Macaca fascicularis: one gene and its partners. The main gene of each other region encodes a partner of the protein of the gene in region 3 in a complex. Links are inferred from orthologs where the notes say so. Each region holds a gene or a part of one and is shown on either strand. Other genes may lie near its edges.

What was found.
Region 1: USH1C (region 3) and CDHR2 share a complex: the UniProt entries of both Homo sapiens proteins name them as parts of the IMAC/intermicrovillar adhesion complex. The link is inferred for Macaca fascicularis from reciprocal best matches to the Homo sapiens genes USH1C and CDHR2.
Region 2: the proteins of USH1C (region 3) and MYO7A are in contact, whole or in part, in a crystal structure (PDB 5MV9), measured with the Homo sapiens proteins. The link is inferred for Macaca fascicularis from reciprocal best matches to the Homo sapiens genes USH1C and MYO7A. Residues at the interface, in NP_001284693.1 of Homo sapiens: Glu450, Pro456, Ile457, Val461, Val462, Ser463, Tyr466, Glu467, Lys479, Gly480, Pro522, Tyr526, Asp527, Asp528, Glu529, Leu530, Thr531, Phe532, Phe533; in NP_000251.3 of Homo sapiens: Phe1946, Val1953, Ala1976, Lys1995, Lys1996, Trp1998, Gln2017, Pro2020, Lys2021, Arg2024, Tyr2026, Ser2112, Ala2113, Phe2114, Phe2115, Glu2116, Val2117, Lys2118, Ile2128, Ser2161, Gly2163, Asn2164, Thr2165, Tyr2166, His2168, Leu2181, Glu2183, Thr2184, Ser2185, Leu2186.
Region 4: USH1C (region 3) and ANKS4B share a complex: the UniProt entries of both Homo sapiens proteins name them as parts of the IMAC/intermicrovillar adhesion complex. The link is inferred for Macaca fascicularis from reciprocal best matches to the Homo sapiens genes USH1C and ANKS4B.
Region 5: USH1C (region 3) and CDHR5 share a complex: the UniProt entries of both Homo sapiens proteins name them as parts of the IMAC/intermicrovillar adhesion complex. The link is inferred for Macaca fascicularis from reciprocal best matches to the Homo sapiens genes USH1C and CDHR5.

Annotation. Positions count from the first base shown.
Region 1 is NC_088380.1:183,478,123-183,481,640, forward strand, and holds part of CDHR2 (cadherin-related family member 2), read left to right. Parts: intron 1-645; coding exon 646-735; intron 736-1,647; coding exon 1,648-1,773; intron 1,774-1,843; coding exon 1,844-1,990; intron 1,991-2,070; coding exon 2,071-2,146; intron 2,147-2,257; coding exon 2,258-2,373; intron 2,374-2,488; coding exon 2,489-2,722; intron 2,723-3,518. UniProt on the Homo sapiens protein: Intermicrovillar adhesion molecule that forms, via its extracellular domain, calcium-dependent heterophilic complexes with CDHR5 on adjacent microvilli. Thereby, controls the packing of microvilli at the apical membrane of epithelial cells.
Region 2 is NC_088388.1:76,025,942-76,029,459, forward strand, and holds part of MYO7A (unconventional myosin-VIIa), read left to right. Parts: intron 1-1,564; coding exon 1,565-1,678; intron 1,679-3,518. UniProt on the Homo sapiens protein: Myosins are actin-based motor molecules with ATPase activity. Unconventional myosins serve in intracellular movements. Their highly divergent tails bind to membranous compartments, which are then moved relative to actin filaments.
Region 3 is NC_088388.1:48,256,066-48,259,583, reverse strand, and holds part of USH1C (harmonin), read right to left. Parts: intron 3,401-3,518; coding exon 3,292-3,400; intron 3,200-3,291; coding exon 3,175-3,199; intron 2,970-3,174; coding exon 2,912-2,969; intron 2,601-2,911; coding exon 2,506-2,600; intron 719-2,505; coding exon 634-718; intron 1-633. UniProt on the Homo sapiens protein: Anchoring/scaffolding protein that is a part of the functional network formed by USH1C, USH1G, CDH23 and MYO7A that mediates mechanotransduction in cochlear hair cells. Required for normal development and maintenance of cochlear hair cell bundles.
Region 4 is NC_088394.1:20,694,465-20,697,497, reverse strand, and holds the end of ANKS4B (ankyrin repeat and SAM domain-containing protein 4B), read right to left. Parts: coding exon 2,116-3,033; 3' UTR 514-2,115; downstream 1-513. UniProt on the Homo sapiens protein: As part of the intermicrovillar adhesion complex/IMAC plays a role in epithelial brush border differentiation, controlling microvilli organization and length. Plays a role in assembly of the complex.
Region 5 is NC_088388.1:522,050-524,735, reverse strand, and holds part of CDHR5 (cadherin-related family member 5), read left to right. Parts: intron 1-457; coding exon 458-550; intron 551-697; coding exon 698-799; intron 800-905; coding exon 906-1,016; intron 1,017-1,102; coding exon 1,103-1,273; intron 1,274-1,961; coding exon 1,962-2,052; intron 2,053-2,217; coding exon 2,218-2,315; intron 2,316-2,434; exon of another isoform or gene 2,435-2,493; coding exon 2,494-2,686. UniProt on the Homo sapiens protein: Intermicrovillar adhesion molecule that forms, via its extracellular domain, calcium-dependent heterophilic complexes with CDHR2 on adjacent microvilli. Thereby, controls the packing of microvilli at the apical membrane of epithelial cells.

The DNA of each region.
Region 1 (3,518 bases), on a different chromosome or scaffold from region 3:
ACATGGCAAAACCCTGTCTCTACTAAAAATACAAAAAAAAAAAAAAAAATTAGCTGGGCTTGGTGGTGGGTGCCTATAATCCCAGCTACTGGGGAGGCTGAGGCAGGAGGATCGCTTAAATCCAGGGGGCAGAGGTTACAGTGAGCCGAGATTGTGCCACTTCACTCCAGCCTGGGCGAAAAAGTGAAACTCCGTCTCAGGCAAAAACAAAACAAACAAAAAAAGGAAGTAGAGGTCGTGTGTACAGGAGCCCAGGAGCAGAGGGCTCCCAGAAGAAGCCCCCAGCTCTGTAGGGTGCTGTTTGAAACCCATGGCTATAGGCTGTAGAGAGCACATGGGATGTCTGAGTGTGCAGTGGCACTGTGAGGCTGGGCTCTAGAATGATCCCTCGTCCTGGTTCTGAGGGGCTCCGAAAATCAGAAGCCAGCTCAGGTGGTGGAGAGGCTGTGTGGGGCGGGGAGGAGGGAGATCCTCCCTGCCGCCCCGCACCCCCAGCTGCCTTCCACCCGCAGCCCTGGTGGGAAGGACAGGGGAACACTGTCCCCTGAGTGCACAGCTGAGGACACTGAAGCTCGGGGGGCAGTGACAGACGAGGGAGAGGAGGAGCTGGGTTTGAGCTGGTAAGCGACGGGTCCCTCCCTGCAGACCCTGCCCGTGGGCAGCGTGGTGTTCTCCGTGCTGGCCGTGGATAAAGACATGGGACCTGCCGGCATGGTCGTGTACTCCATAGAGAAGGTGAGTATGAAGGGGGCCCTGACCGCCTTCGTGACCGCCAGGGGGCAGCATATCCACAGACAACCCACGGGGCCCGAGCGTTGGGGTGGGGACGTTGGTCGTGCCTTGGCCCAGCCCTGGCCCCCAAACCTTCCTCTGGCCACCAGCCCCCCTCCCCGGAAACCTCACTTTGCCCACTTGCCTAAAGAGGGTGCCTGCTGCAGACCAGACCCTTCTTCCCGCCCGCCTGCTCCCAGGTCTTGTCCAGGTTCCACAGACAGTAAGGGGCGTGTGAACCCATTTCTCATGGAAACAGAGTTGCTGTTGATAGCGCCATTTACCGAGCACCAACCGCGTGCCTGGCACATACCATGCAGTCACCCCTTGGTATCTGTGGGGAATTGGCTCCAGGATCCCTGAGGACACCAAAATCCCTGGCTGCTCAAGTCCCTGGACATGCAATGGGGGTAGTATTTGCATGTAACCTAGACACATCCTCCTGTGTACTTTAAATCACCTCTAGGTTACCTCTAATACCAATGCAATGCAAATACTATGTAAATATAGCGTATTATGTATGCTATATTGTTTAGGGAATCATGGCAAGGGAAAAAGTTTGTACATCTTCAGTACAGACACAACCATTGTGAGCATAGCTACAGTTTTGATCTGTGGCTGGTCAAATGTGTGGATGTGGAACCCACAGAGATGGAAGGCTGACTGCATCTTATTGGATCCTCCTTTCAACCCACTGAGGGTTGTCACCAGCCCCATTTCCCAGAGCTGGAGACTGAGGCTCAGAGAGGTCATACGACCTGGTGCCAGTGGCGTGACTGGTCAGTGGTAGAGCTGGGGCCTTCCCTGTGTTGCTGAGTGGGATCCTCGGGGCAGGGCTGTCCCTAGGGAGACTGACCCAAGTCTGCTCTGCCCCAGGTCATCCCTAGCACTGGGGACAGCGAGCATCTCTTCCGGATCCTGGCCAATGGCTCCATCATCCTCAGTGGCAGCCTCAGCTACAACAACAAGAGCGCTTTCTACCAGCTGGAGCTGAAGGCCTGTGTGAGTGGGGGTGCCAGAGGGGGGGCCTAGGACCCACGGCGCTGGCTCACGGGCGGCCATCTCCCCGCAGGACTTGGGCGGCATGTTCAACAACAGCTTCACCATCCAGTGCTCCCTGCCTGCCTTCCTGTCCATCTCCGTGGTGGACCAGCCTGACCTTGACCCCCAGTTTGTCAGGGAGTTTTACTCGGCCTCTGTGGCTGAGGACGCAGCCAAGGTGCCCAGGGGACCTGTGGGGTATGAGTGGAAGCGGGAGGCGGGGGAAGTTTGAGGAGCACTGACCAGGCACCATTCCAGGGAACCTCGGTGCTGAAAGTGGAGGCTGTGGATGGCGACAAAGGCATCAATGACCCTGTGATCTACAGCATCTCCAGTGAGAATGGGGTGTCCCCAGGCCAGGGCTGGGCCGGGGCCGGGGTCAGTGCTCCGTCAGAGCCACTGGAGCAGCTGTTCCAGCTGTTCCACCTGTCTCCTTGCTTGCCAGACTCCACGTGGCCCGGCTGGTTTGACATCGGGGCAGATGGGGTGATCAGGGTCAACGGCTCCCTGGACCGTGAGCAACTGCTGGAGGAGGATGAGGAGGTGCAGCTGCAGGTCACGGTGAGCAAAGGCCCCACCACCCCTGTCAGAATCCTGCTCTCTAACCTCTGGCTTTTGGTCTCTCTGAGCACTGGCTCTCTGACCTCTGACCTCTGACCTCTGCTCTGTGCCTCAGGCCACCGAGACACACCTCAACATCTACGGGCAGGAGGCCAAGGTGAGCATCTGGGTGACAGTGAGAGTGTTGGACGTCAATGACCACAAACCTGAGTTTTACAACTGCAGCCTCCCAGCCTGCACCTTCACCCCCGAAGAGGCCCAAGTGAACTTCACTGGCTACGTGGACGAGCATGCCTCCCCCCGCATCCCCATCGATGACCTCACCATGGTGGTCTACGACCCGGACAAGGCAAGCGTGGTGGTGCGGGTGTGGGCGGGGGTGGCATGGTGGCCTACGACCCGGACAAGGCAGGTGTGGTGGCGTGGGTGTGGGCGGGGGTGGCAAGGTGGCCTACGACCCGGACAAGGCAGGTGTGGTGGCGTGGGTGTGGGCAGGGGTGGCTGGGGGAGGCCAGTGGAAGCCCGGATTGAGTGACAGTGCCATGTGGTGCTGGGTGGTGGTGCTGGTGGTGCAGGGCGTGGTGACGGAAAATGGGGGTGCTGTGTGCTCTCTGGAAACCTTCGTCGGTAAGCAATGTCATCCTCTGGGCAATCCATGTGGGGCTGAATAGGAGGCCGTGCTGAGTGGAGGCTGATGTTGAACGTCAGATGATGCTGAGTAGAACGTCATTGTCCGTGGTGATGGGTGGCTGACAAGGTCTCCTGGCATTGGGTGGCCATGATTTGGGTAGTCATGGGAACTGGAGGAGGCTGAGCAGTGTTGGGACAAGTGGTTTGAGGGTGTGAGGTGGGAGGGTGTTTTTTTTTTTTTTTGAGATGGAGTTTCACTCTGTTGCTTAGGCTGGAGTGCAATGGCCCAATCTTGGCTCACTGCAGCCTCTGCCTTCCAGGTTCAAGTGATTCTCCTGCCTCAGCCTCCCGAATAGCTGTGATTACAGGCGTGCACCACCTCACCCAGCTAATTTTTCTGTTTTTAGTAGAGATGGAGTTTCACCCTGTTGGCCAGGCTGGTCTCGAACTCCTGGCCTCAAGTGATCCACCCACCTTAGCCTCCCAAAGTGCTGGGATTACAGGCGTGAGTCACC
Region 2 (3,518 bases), about 28 Mb from region 3:
TGAGGTACACTCAATGACTCCAAGATGTTCGCACAGAACTTATCTCTGGTGTTAAACAATGCATGACTGTAGCTGGTTCTGATGGGAATAAGAGGAGGCTGAAACAGTAATGAGTTGGTCTTGGACTCACTGAGTTCAGCCTTCACTGAGAAATGTGGAAATTGAGGCTGAAAGAGGTCAGCGACTCACCAAGGCCAGGCAGGGCCTGAAACCCAGTCTTCTGACTCCTAGCCCAGAACAGATTCTGTCAGACCATTCCCATGGGTTTACTTCATTGTGAATCAGTTTTATCAGCTGTTACATTTTTATTTGCAATTTGATATTAAGTTATATTCTTATTAGAATGTCTGAGTTCTTCCACACTCCTAGGGAGTTTGAGTACCATCCAAAAAAGAATACTTTTATTAGGATTAGAATAAAATCTAAGCTTGTATCCCAAGGCCAACAAAGGGCTTATGTATCCTGGACCCTGTCTACTTCTCTGAGCTCCCTTTTGCTCATTAGGTCCTGCCTCCTGGCTGTTCCTTCCTGCCACAGGGCCTTTGCACATGTTATTTCCTATGCTGGGATTACTGTCCCCTGCTTTTCCCTTGGCTGACTGCTTGTCACCCTTCAGGTGTCAGTTCAGCGATTCCCTCCACGGAGCAGCTCCATTGGCTACTGGGTCTAGGTTGGTTGGCCCTGTCATTCTCTACCACTGGCTTGTTTATTCCCTTGACAGCACTCACCCCAGTATCCAAAGTGATCATGCTGATCTATTTGCTCAGTTGTTTGTCACCACCTCTAACTTGAATGTAGACTCCATAATCACTGCTCAACCCCCAGCATTTAGATTAATCAGTGTTTTGTACTCAGTAGGTAATCAATACATGTCTGTTGAATCCATCAGTGCTGAATGTGGTTGTTCTCAGTCCATTTCTCTGACTTGGGATTTTACGTTTGACTCTCACGATCCCTTACTGAGTGAGTAGTGAGACCCAGGCCCTGGGCCAGATGCCACAGAAACACAAAACGACATCCTCCTGCGAGGTCAGGGCGCTCCCCACATGCCAGAAGACAATGTGGCTGAACCCTTATCTAGGGCCCAGCAAGGAGTGGTGTCCCTGTGAGGAACCTGTCATGATGATGATGAAAATCGGCCCTGGAGGTAAAGAAGGATGCAGCTCACCCACGGTCTGGGTGTCCTCTGGTGTCACCTCATGTTAGAGAGGAAGTAGTTTGAGTGGTCTTGTGTTTCTGTCTAGACTCCAGTGAATCTGTCATACACATGTAAAGTGTAGATCCATGGGGAGAGCTGGGCTTCAAGAGGCTTTGGCTCCCTCTGAGCCTCTGCTAACTCTTCTGTAAAATGGGAACATGGCTGCTCTAGAGGAGGGACTGATGACATTGCATAAATGGCCAGCCCAGGGCCTGCCCTGCTCCAGAAGGTTTCTAGTAAGTGTGAGTCCCCTTCTCTTCCCCCTTCTGTGGTTGGCCCAGAGCCTCTGGTGGTAGCAGAGGGATGCAGGGCTGCCTGGAAGGGGGCTCCCTGCTCACCTGGCCTGGGACTCTCTCTCGCCCATAGGGGGACTATGTGTGGATGGACCTGAGATCGGGGCAGGAGTTTGATGTGCCCATCGGGGCAGTGGTGAAGCTCTGCGACTCTGGGCAGATCCAGGTGGTGGACGATGAAGGCAATGTGAGTAGTCCCCTCCCTCCTCTTGCCCCATGCCTTGGGGGAAGATCTGGGCTGACAGCTGCCTCAAGGCAGGGAGATGATCTAAAGGAGATGGAGGCTGTGCCCGTGCCCCCACTTCTGCCTGTCAGATGCCTCCTTCCATGAGCCTTCCCCAGCACCCCAGCAAGAGGGAACCCCCTGCCTGCCTCAGGCTACTTGTTCTGTTTCCACAAGCACTTCAGTTCACTCTGCCTAGTGTTAGAGATGTGTGTGTGTATGGTGGGGTTTGAGTGCTGGGGGAGCAGGCTAGAAGCTCCTCAGACACGGAGGTGCTTTGGGGGCAGACTGACTGCATTCAAATCCCATCTCATCCACTTGTTAGCTGTGCAGACTTGGCCAAGTCTCCTTCCCTCCTGAGCCTCAGTTTCCTCTTTGTAAAATGAGGATAATAATAAGTATCTCAGAGGGCTGTTGACCCATACGTGAGATCACACGTGTAGAACACCTCAGTGAAGTTAGTGCTAGTCTGAAAGTTAAATGAACGCCCACAGCCTTACTGTATTGGGTTACTGACATCACATGAATCCACTGTCCACCTTGACACTGTCCCGGAAATTGGTCTCACAGATTAACCCTTTATCTGTGGCCCAAAAGGAAAGGGACCCCAGAAGTGTAAGTTTTCTAGGTAGTGATAGTGGGGCCTCGGAGAGGTCTGAAGTCAGGGGCCTGCCCTGGAGAAGGAGGCTGGTTCACATGCGGGCCCGCAGGGGAAGCTCTGGGGCCTCTGAGCATGTGTGCACATGTGTGTGTCACGGGGGGTATGCAGATGGGGTGCAGAGCACACAAGTGCAGCTTAGCAGGGATATGAAGAACCCAGGGAGATTCAGCTCTGCCATAATGTGGGCTGTGCCCCATGGTGTGCCAGGGGCTGGGGACATAGAACTGGACTGAGTACCTGTCTTAGCCTCCTGGTCTGAGGGAGAAGAGTCAGGAGAAAGAGGGTGCAGGGACTTGAAACCAAGGCTCTGCTGGGGATGAGAGGAGGGCTCAGGATCCTCGAGGCCAGGATTGACATGGAGTGGGCAGGAGCATCCCACATATTCCTGCAGCCCTCAGGTGCATCCCCTCAGTGTTTACAAGGCCCTTTAACCCAAGTTCTGTCTTTGGACTCTCATGGCATCTGTGGAAGGCAGGGAGGGAAAGAACTGTTACCCCATGAGGAAACTGAGGCACATAGAGGGACCACGCAGCCAGTCACACAGCTAGTAAGTGGTGGTGCTGGGATTAGAACCCAGGACTTCTGTCTTCTGTGCGTGAGTCTCCCCTGTCAGCATTATCTCAGTAGAACCCAGGACTTCTGTCTTCTATGCGTGAGTCTCCCCTGTCAGCGTTATCTCAGTAGAACCCAGGACTTCTGTCTTCTATGCGTGAGTCTCCCCTGTCAGCGTTATCTCAGTAGAACCCAGGACTTCTGTCTTCTGTGCGTGAGTCTCCCCTGTCAGCGTTATCTCAGTGGCGACTTTAGGGATCAGGTTCTGCTAATCACATTTTTGGCCCCTGGGCTGTAGAACTGAAGTGCTTCCAATATCGCTCCAGAGGCTCCAGTTCTAGGACCCTCTAGGAAGCTACTGTGAGGGTGCAGCCCCAGAAGGGGAGGCACAGGCTGGCTGGCAGCACAGACAGGCCTGCTAACCTGCCCAGAGCCCCCAGGGTGGGGACCAGGGACTCTGTCTGCAGGCTTGAGTTTCACCTGGGTCATGTTGCATGTCAGATGGTGTCCCGTAACTCTGAGTCACTGAATCCCAAAGGTCCCCTTCCGCTTCTCCTCCACCCAGGCCCTGAGAGTGGGGGCTGCAGGAGG
Region 3 (3,518 bases):
CATAACAGAATAGCTAACATTCACTGATCACTTACAGTGTGCTTGGCACAGTTCTAGTATACATATTAACTACTTTAACCCACACAACAACCTTGGAAGAAAGGCTTTATTATCCCCATCTTATAGGTAAGGAAACTGAAGCACAGAGACATGAAGTAACTTGTCCAAAGAAGAGGTTAAGGGTTCCTGCTTTGGGATGAGACCACCTAGGTTTGAATTCCAGTCCTACCATGCTAGGTACATGATTTCAGAAAAATCATATACTTTCTCTGGGTCTCAGTTTCCTCATATGTAAAGTGGGGATAATGGTGGCACTTAATCCTCAGCGTTCTTGTGAAGTGTAAAGGGCGTGGAACAATGTCCGATGCAAGTGGACCCTGAAGGTCCGCTCTTTGATTATCATTATGACATTCCCAAGCTCACGACCAACAACCATCAGAGCTATGGAAGGCTGCAGAAGGGTCAAATGTCCCCACTCTGTGAAGCCTTCTCTGAAGGGTGGGTAGGGCTCCTCCTGATCAGTGACCGCCGAAAGAGGGCCATGTGGAAAGGCACCTGCCCCTGTCACCGCGGGATCACAGTCTGACCCAGTTTCCAGTGGGCCCCCACTGGGGCCGGCCCAGCGTCACTCACCTCCAATCCCACCTCAGCAGACAGGGAGCCAGGTTTCACGTGGCTGATGAAGATGCCAGGCTTCTGGATGGGGCCGCTGGAAATGCTGTGGGAGGTGGGAAATGTGTGCTTAGGATACAGGTCACTCATGAACTCAGGACTGAAGGCCCTCGGCTGCCTACCTCTTCAGCCTCTGTCTCCCCGTCCAGCCTGATTTCTACTGCTACCCTGGGCAACAGCCACAGAAAACTCCTTGTAATTCTTCCTACCCAATCTCTCACCTAATATACCTCATATGTTGTTTCTTTTTCCTTTCTAACGCTTTCCTGTCCATTCCTTAAGAACCAAATGCTATCCCTTCTATAAGGTTTTCAGCAGATCCTCTTTTTTAAAAAATTTATTTTTTAGAGACAGGGTCTTGCTCTGTCACCCAGGTTGGAGTGCAGTGGTGTGATCATAGCTCTCCACAGCCTCCAACTCCTGGGCTCAAGCAATCCTCCCACCTCAACCTCTTGACTAGCTACGACTACAGGTGCACACCACCATGCCTGGCTCAGATCCCTTATTCTATCCCAAGACCAAGCTATTTGCTCGGTTCTCAGTGCTCCTATGACATTTACGACAGGAATGGCACATGTACTGTTATTATTCCTTCCTAGATTGGTGGCAGAAATCACTCACTGATCACAGCACTCTTTCCCTCAAGCCTGGATATAGCTTTAGAATCCTTTTCAAAGCAGCACTCCAGGGAGCTCCTACTAATTGATTAGAGATGGCACCTATTTGCCATCCCGGACACAGAATGTAGTTCCATTTGAGTCCCTATCACCCTATATTATAACTGTTTATGTGGTTGGCTTCTAGATTAGGCTCTTGTCTCCCAGAAGGGAGGGACTCTTTATCACTTATGCTTGGCACAAAACATGGAATAAATGTGAATGAAGGGAAAGAAGAGGAATAACTCAAATCATAACAGCTAGTATTTACCAACTGCTTACTGTTTAGCAGGTACTAAGCTTGGTACTTTACTTTCTCCACAATCACCCTGTGATGTGGGAATTATTATCATCAATTTATAGAGGGAGAAACTGAGGCTCCAAGTGGTTAAGTAACTGGCCCAAGGTTCCAGAGCTCTTAAGTAGGAAAGCAGGGCTGGAACTGGGATCTGAGTAACGGTGGAACCTGCACGCTTGAGCCCCGTGTGGCCCAGTATCTGTTTGGATTCCCCGTCTGCCTCTTAACGAAGCCGACAAGGTAATAAGTGATAAGAGAACTGTGACAGAGATGACCAGCTGAACAGGCTCCTTTTGCAGTGACTCAAGGACCTACAAGGTAACATGGTTCTGCCTCTAGGCCTCAATTTCTTTATCCGTAAACTGGGATCTATTAGAGATGCCCCTCGGGCCCTACAGGCCTGTCGTGAAATTCAGAGGGGAAATCAGGCACCAGGAAGTGTCATCACCAAGGCTGGGCGCGGTGCTTCATGCCTCTAATCCCAGCACTCCGGGAGGCTGAGGTGGGAGGATCATTTGAGCCCAGGAATTTGAGACCAGCCTTGGCAACATAACAAAACTCCTTCTCTACAAAAAAATTAAAAGTTAGCTGGGTGTCATGGTGTGTTTCTGTAGACCCAGCTACTCAGGAGGCTGAGGTGGGAGGATTGCTTGAGCTGGGGAGGTCGAGGCTACAGTGAGCTATGATCACGCCATTGCACTCCAGCCCAGGTGACAGAGCCAGACCCTGTCTCTAACAAAAAAATACCATCACCCATGGACAAGTCACACCCCTGGTGGGCAAGGTTTCCTCAGAAGCAGCAGTGAGGAAGGGGAGGGTAATAGGGGCCTGCTGGGGTGCACTGGCCACGAATGACCCCGGGGCATGCCCACCACCCACCTGCAGCCAAGGCCCCGGGAGCCCACCAGGCTGATGAAGACCTTCTTCTCCTTGTTTTCCCGATTTCCAGGGGAGCCCAGGCTGCCTCGCCCCCCCTGAAAGGGAGATAGAAGCAGAATCTCTGAGTGTCCACATGCGTGCAAGCGGCCTCTTGAGCTCGTGGGACCTGCAGGGCGAGCACTGCTGAACTCACACCAGCCAGATCATCATTCTGTCCCTGGGGATGTGTCTGCACCAGCCTGGCCTGGCTGAGGGCCACTGCCCCACAGCAGTGTGCTGGCTGCCCTGGGGGCCTGTGTGAAGTCCCTGAGAGTGCATCTCTAGAGCAAGCCCTCCCTTTAGGACTGGCCGCCCATCCTTGAAGATGACCCCACCCAAACCCCATCACAGGAGGTCTGGCCCTTACCCCAGATTCTGACACAAACTGATCCACATACTGCCACTTGAGGGGCTCATCAGGAGAGCTGATGGGAAGGGAAAATAGATGGAAGGGTGGTTAGCGAGAGACGTTTGAGGAACCAGGCCCCAAATCCAGATCCACCATGTCTACAACCTCCAGCCTCCACTGGCCCAGGAGCAGGGCTGGCATGGTGAGTGCTGGACCCCAGGGCTGTACCAGGACCCCGGGCCCACAGGGAAGAGTCGGCCTGCAGAGGAGGGGCCTCTCACCTCTTCACGGGGATCAGGCCAATGTCTGTGGGAGAAAGGCACAGGGGTTAGGACAGCTCCTCCACCCTCCCTCCCTCCCACCATCATGGAGCCCTGTCCTGCTCTAGTCTCACTCACGTCTCACTTTGATGGACACAGTTTTCTTGGTTCGGATGAGGTTGATGACCTCCTCATGGGTACAGGAGGAGATGGAATATCCATTGATCCGGACGATCTCGTCCCCTACCTTGACCACAGAGAGAGGCAGGGAGCACTGGCTGGAGGGAGCATCAGGCAGTGGGGCAGACTCACCACCAGATGCTCCCAGACTGCTATCCGGAAAAGGGAAGGGTGGCCATGCCATC
Region 4 (3,033 bases), on a different chromosome or scaffold from region 3:
GCCTCAGCCTCTGGAGTAGCTGGGATTACAGACACATGCCACCAGGCCCGGCTAATTTTTGTATTTTTAGTAGAGATAGGTTTCCGCCATTTTGGCCAGGCTGGTCTTGAACTCCTGACCTCAAGTGATCTGCCTGCCTGGGCCTCCCAAAGTGCTGGAATTACAGGAGTGAGCCAAGTGTTGTCAGTTTCTATCATGGAACCTACAGGTATTCGGATATGCAGCAATGGTGACAGACAACAGTAAATAAACCATGTGTACATAATAAGTATGAAAATGTGAAATTTCCTTTTACGATCAAATCTTCCCTCCAAAGAACTTAGTTTTTTTTTTTTTTTTTCCTTAAGTTTCAGTAGGTGTTTACCTTTAAAAAACTCATCAGTTGCAGTTGGCCAGACTTTTTTTCTGTGTTTTTCTTGGTCTCCTCCCCAACCCCTCTTACTTAGGACTGTATTATTCTGCTAGGAATGCCGTAACAAAATGCCACAGACTGGGTGGCTTCAACAACAGAAGTTTATCAACAGAAGTTTATTTTTTCACACCTTTGGAGGCTGGAAGTCCAAGATCAAGGTGTTGGCAGGGTTAGTTTCTCCTGAGGCCCCTCTCCTCAGCTTGCAGACGGCTGCCTTCTCACTGCATTCTCACGTGGCCTCACTGTGTCCCTTCTACCTACGTGTCTCTTCCTCTTCTTAGGACACCAGTCCTAGGCTGGATGCCGTGGCTCACGCCTGTAATCCCAGCGCTCTGAGAGGCCAAGGCAGGTGGATCACCCGAGGTCAGGAGTTCAAGACCAGCCTGGCCAACATGGTGAAACCCTGTCTCTACTAAAAATACAAAAAATTAGCCAGGCGTGGTGGTACATACCTGTAATCCCAGCTACTCAGGAGGCTAAGGCATGAAAATTGCTTGAACCTGGGAGGCAGAGGTTGTAGTGAGCTGAGATCATGCCACTGTACTCCAGCATGGGTGACAGAGCAAGGCTCCATCTCAAAAAAAAAAAAAAAAAGGAAAAAAGGAGGCTAGTCCTATAGGATTAGGGTCCCATTCTTATGACTTCATTTAACCTTAATCACTTCTTTAAAGGCCTTATTTCCAAATACAGTCACATTAGGGGTTAGAGTGCCAACATATGAATTTGACACAAGTCAGTCAACAACAAGTACCATCTGTATTCTATTTCTTTCTTCACTCTCCCCACTGCCACTCTGTCTCTATTCTCAGGCAGGAGTATTATAGATGCATTTCCATTACTTGTAAACATGTACACATTTGTTAAAGGGTTAGATGCATTTAAGTTGGGCATCAAGCCTCAGGCCAGGAAAGAACTTTAGTCTCTACCACCAGGCAAAGTCATAGAGCTCAGGAGAGAAAAAGAATTAGAATTCCCAGGTTATATGGATCAGAAAGCAAGCAGCAGGATAATGACATGAGATTATAATTTTAAATCCAGAGATAGAAAAGTAAAGGAAGTTTCTTTCATTTTCCTGTCACGCATATGACCCTTTCTTTATTCAAAAGTATCAAAAAGATAGGCTGGGTACAGTGGTTCACACCTGCAATCCCAATGCTTTAGGAGGCTGAGGTGGGAGGACTGCTTGAGGTCAGGAGTTTGAGACCAGGCTGGGCAACGTGGTAAGACCCCACCTCTACTGAAACATACAAAATAAGCCAGGTGTGGGTGTGTGCACCTGTAGTCCCAGCTACTTGAAAGGCTGAGGTGGGAGGAGATCACTTGAGCCCAGGAGGTTGAGAATACAGTGGACTATGATCATACCACTGCAACCCAGCCTGGGTAAGAGAGTGAGACCCTCATCTCCAAAAAAAAAAAAAAATACACACACACACACACACACACACACACACACACACACACACATATATAAGATAACTGAAGAGAAATGCCATTTTCTTGTTATGAAGTCTCCTCAAGTTTCTCATGGAGATTTATTTGGATGGGCCTCCCAGAGTAAAGTTTGGGCCTCTCTCTCAAGTAGGCATCTCCAATGCCCTAGAATCCATTCCCAGTGATCTGGCATTGGGTAAAGAGGGGGTGCTGCCTGGAGTGCTGCCAGCAGACCACAGCATCACCCCAATGCTCCAGGCCAAAACCCTCCATCACAGGCTGGTGTCGACCAGCTGCCCAGGCTGTTGTAGCACCTGCTTCCTCCTGTTTATAGCATTCAGAACTTTCTTCCTGGGACCCAGCTGCATTTGTATGCTCTGAAGGTCCTCATCAGAGCAGAGCAGCAGAGCTTCTAGATCAATCTGCTCTCTCTTAAAGATAGGCAGGAATTCTTCCAGGTGCTGAGACAGCAAGAACACTTCCAGGGGCGTGGCATCGACCACATCTTCCTCCCACTCCACTTCATCCTCACCCCATGGTAGATCATCTTTGAGGCTGTTTTCCTCTTCCTCTTCATCAGCTATACCCTCATCAGTCTCTGATGTTCCTTGTGTTTGAAACAATTCACTGGGCAGTTTAAAACCCAACTCCCTCTTGCTATCTGAGATGTCTTCAGGACTCAATATCCTGTTCCTTCTAAAAACAATACTTCCTAGACCTGGACGATTGAGAATGGATTCATGGCGCACACTGCTGTCCTCCTCTGCTGACAACTGGAGCTTCTCTTTGAAGTCCCCTGAGAATGAGTCTTCCTCTTCCTCTCTGAACACTTCCATCACGTTCCTCTGCCCACTTCTGCCTTCCTTCCCCACCTGTTCTGCTGTATCGTTGTTCTTTTTGAACTTGATCTTGAAAGTATCTTTAATGCCCTTAGATAGTGACCCGAATGTGCCAGGAGCAGAAGCATTTGAAGGGAATGACCTGGAGAAGGTACCCTTGGAAGAAGAGACAGTCCCAGACTCCTCCTTGCTGTAGGTGCGGGCCATCTTATTTTGGTGCTTCTCCTGGAGCCTCTCACACTCTTTGATCTGCCTCCTGGCATTCTTCTGAGCCTGCTCCTTCAGCCTGGTGACCTTCTTGGGGTTCATGATGTTCTGCGCAGTGGCAGCCTTGTCCAGGAGAGCAACACA
Region 5 (2,686 bases), about 48 Mb from region 3:
GCTTAAACCTGGGAGGCAGATGTTGCAGTGAGCCAAGATCACGCCACTGCACTCCAGCCTGGGTGACAGAATGAGACTCTGTATCCAAAAAGAAAACAAAGAAAAGAACTGGATTGTCTTTCCTCGCTTGAGATTCTGCTGGTTGCATCCCCAAGTACCTGCATTATTTTTCTGTGGCGCACCTGCCACCTCCTGGCTTTATAAAGTCCTTTTTGTCTGTTGTTGTAAGTCCTGCCAGGACAGGCACCACCGGGCAGAGATTTGTCTCTTGTGATCTCTGCATCCCAGCACCTAGAGCTGTGCAGCCCCCCTGCAGCCCCCCAACACCACTGAGCGAGTGGACGGATAGCTGTCGAGGGGTGCACCTCACTCACGATGGGGAAGGATAGCGTCGAGGGGTACACCTCACTCATGATGGGGAGCGGCTGTGGGAGAGGCTGACGGCCACATCCTGCAGGTGACCCAGCTGAGGGTGTTCGTGTCAGTGCTGGACGTCAATGACAACGCCCCCGAATTCCCCTTTACAACCAAGGAGATAAGGGTGGAAGAGGTGAGGCCAGCGAAGCTGCCAGGGCTGGGCAGGGGGTGCGGGAGCCCAGGGTGAGGGCAAGGGGCGAGTGGTGGCCGGGGGCTCAACCACAGCGGGGGTCCACAGGGGCCAAGAGTGTGGCCAGACCAAGCCCCTCTCCCTCCCTAGGACACTAAAGTAAACTCCACCGTCATCCCTGAGACAGAACTGCAGGCCAAGGACAAAGACAAGGATGACCTTCTGTTCTACACCCTCCAGGAAGCGACCGCAGTCAGTGCCGCCTGCCCTGCCCCAGCGTGAGCCCCTCGCCACTGACACCCGCAGCCGCCCTCGCCCTCCCAGGCTCTTAGGCTGTGTCCTCCCTGATCCTCCCCAGGGTGCCAGTGACTACTTCTCCCTGGTGGGTGTAAACTATCCCGCCCTGAGGCTGGACCGGCCCCTGGACTTCTACGAGCGGCCCAACATGGCCTTCCGGCTGCTGGTGCGGGTGAGCGGCTCACCCCAGCCCTGAGTCCCACATGCTTGAGGTCCCCCTGGCCCCAGCTGCTCCCAGGCCTGATCTGGCTGTTGCAGGACACTCCGGAGGAGAATGTGGAGCCCAGCCACACGGCCACCGCCACGCTGGTGCTGAACGTGGTGCCTGCCGACCTGCGGCCCCCCTGGTTCCTGCCCTGCACCTTCTCAGACGGCTACGTCTGCATCCAAGCTCAGTACCACGGGGCTGTCCCCACGGGGCACACACTGGTAATGGGGAGGGAGGGGCAGTGCCCGGGGCGGGGCCTTCTAGGCAGGTTGGAGGCAGGGACGGCCAGGATCAGAAGAAGGGCAGGGTCAGGGTCAGCGGGTGGGGCCAAGTTTGGTTGTGACTTTGAAACAAATACAGACTCTCCTTATAAACCAATCTTTCCCATCTTGAGGGAGCAAACCCTGAACACACAGAGAGGAGTGTGGGCCCCAGAGCCAGGCGGTCTCAGGGGCCTGGGGAGGTGGGCTGGGGCCCTGGAGTTCTTAAGGGATGGTGAGATCTCTGCCCTGCTCACAGTCACCACTAGGCCCACACAGGCTGTCTGCAAACCTTCACAGCACCAAGGCACCCGGGGCCACCAAACAGCACATGAGAGGCAGAAACGCAGACCCCGGGAACCCCCCGCTTCCTAAATGTCTGCTTAGCCGTCAAGACAAGCATCGTGCAAATGGCACTCAGTATCTTTGGGCAACTTATTCGTTAGTGAGGGACCCACAGGGGTGTGACTCACTGTGATACTGGGACAAGGGACAGTCCTAGACAGGCAGGGATGCCCGGCCACCAGCGGGACTGGGCCCCTCCTCAGCCAGCCCTGCCCTGGCTGACCTTGATGGGGAGCCAGAGGGGCCAGGTTGGGGCCATTCACCCCAGCCTCACGACGTGCCCTCCTCTCCACCATCCTTGAAGCCATCCCCCCTCGTCCTGCGTCCCGGACCCATCTACGCCGAGGATGGAGACCGCGGCATCAACCAAGCCATCATCTACAGCATCTTCAGTGGTGAGTGGGGCCCAGCCCTCAACAATGCCCCGGACCCCTCTCTGTCCCTGTCTCTGTCCCCACCTTGGGCTGGGGAAGCCCCAGGGGCACCTGCCAGCAAGGCAGAGCTGGCTGGGTCCCTGGGCCTCAGGAGGCCGGGACTGAGCACTTCCATCGTCCTCCCAGGAAATGTGAACAGTACATTTGTCATCCACCGAGACTCCGGCAACCTCACCATGGCCAGGAGTGTCCCCAGAGCCATGACCTTTCTTCTGCTGGTGAAGGTGAGGTAGGGACCTGCACGGGGGGCAGGGCAGTGGGGGCAGGGTGGAAGGTAGGGCGGGGGTCAGGGCGGGGGGGCAGGGCCCCTGCCAAGTCTGCATCTATTCTTCCTGAGCCCCAGGCTTCAGCACCAGCTCCACCGTCAACCCCACGAGTCACGGCTGCCTCCCCCGCCTCCAGGGCCAGCAGGCCGACCTTGCCCGCTACTCAGTGACCCAGGTCACCGTGGAGGCTGTGGCTGCAGCCGGGAGCCCGCCCCGCTTCCCCCAGAGCCTGTACCGTGGCACCGTGGCACTTGGCGCTGGAGCAGGTGTTGTGGTCAAGGATGCAGCTGCCCCCTCTCAGCCTCTGAGGGTCCAGGCTCGGGATCCGG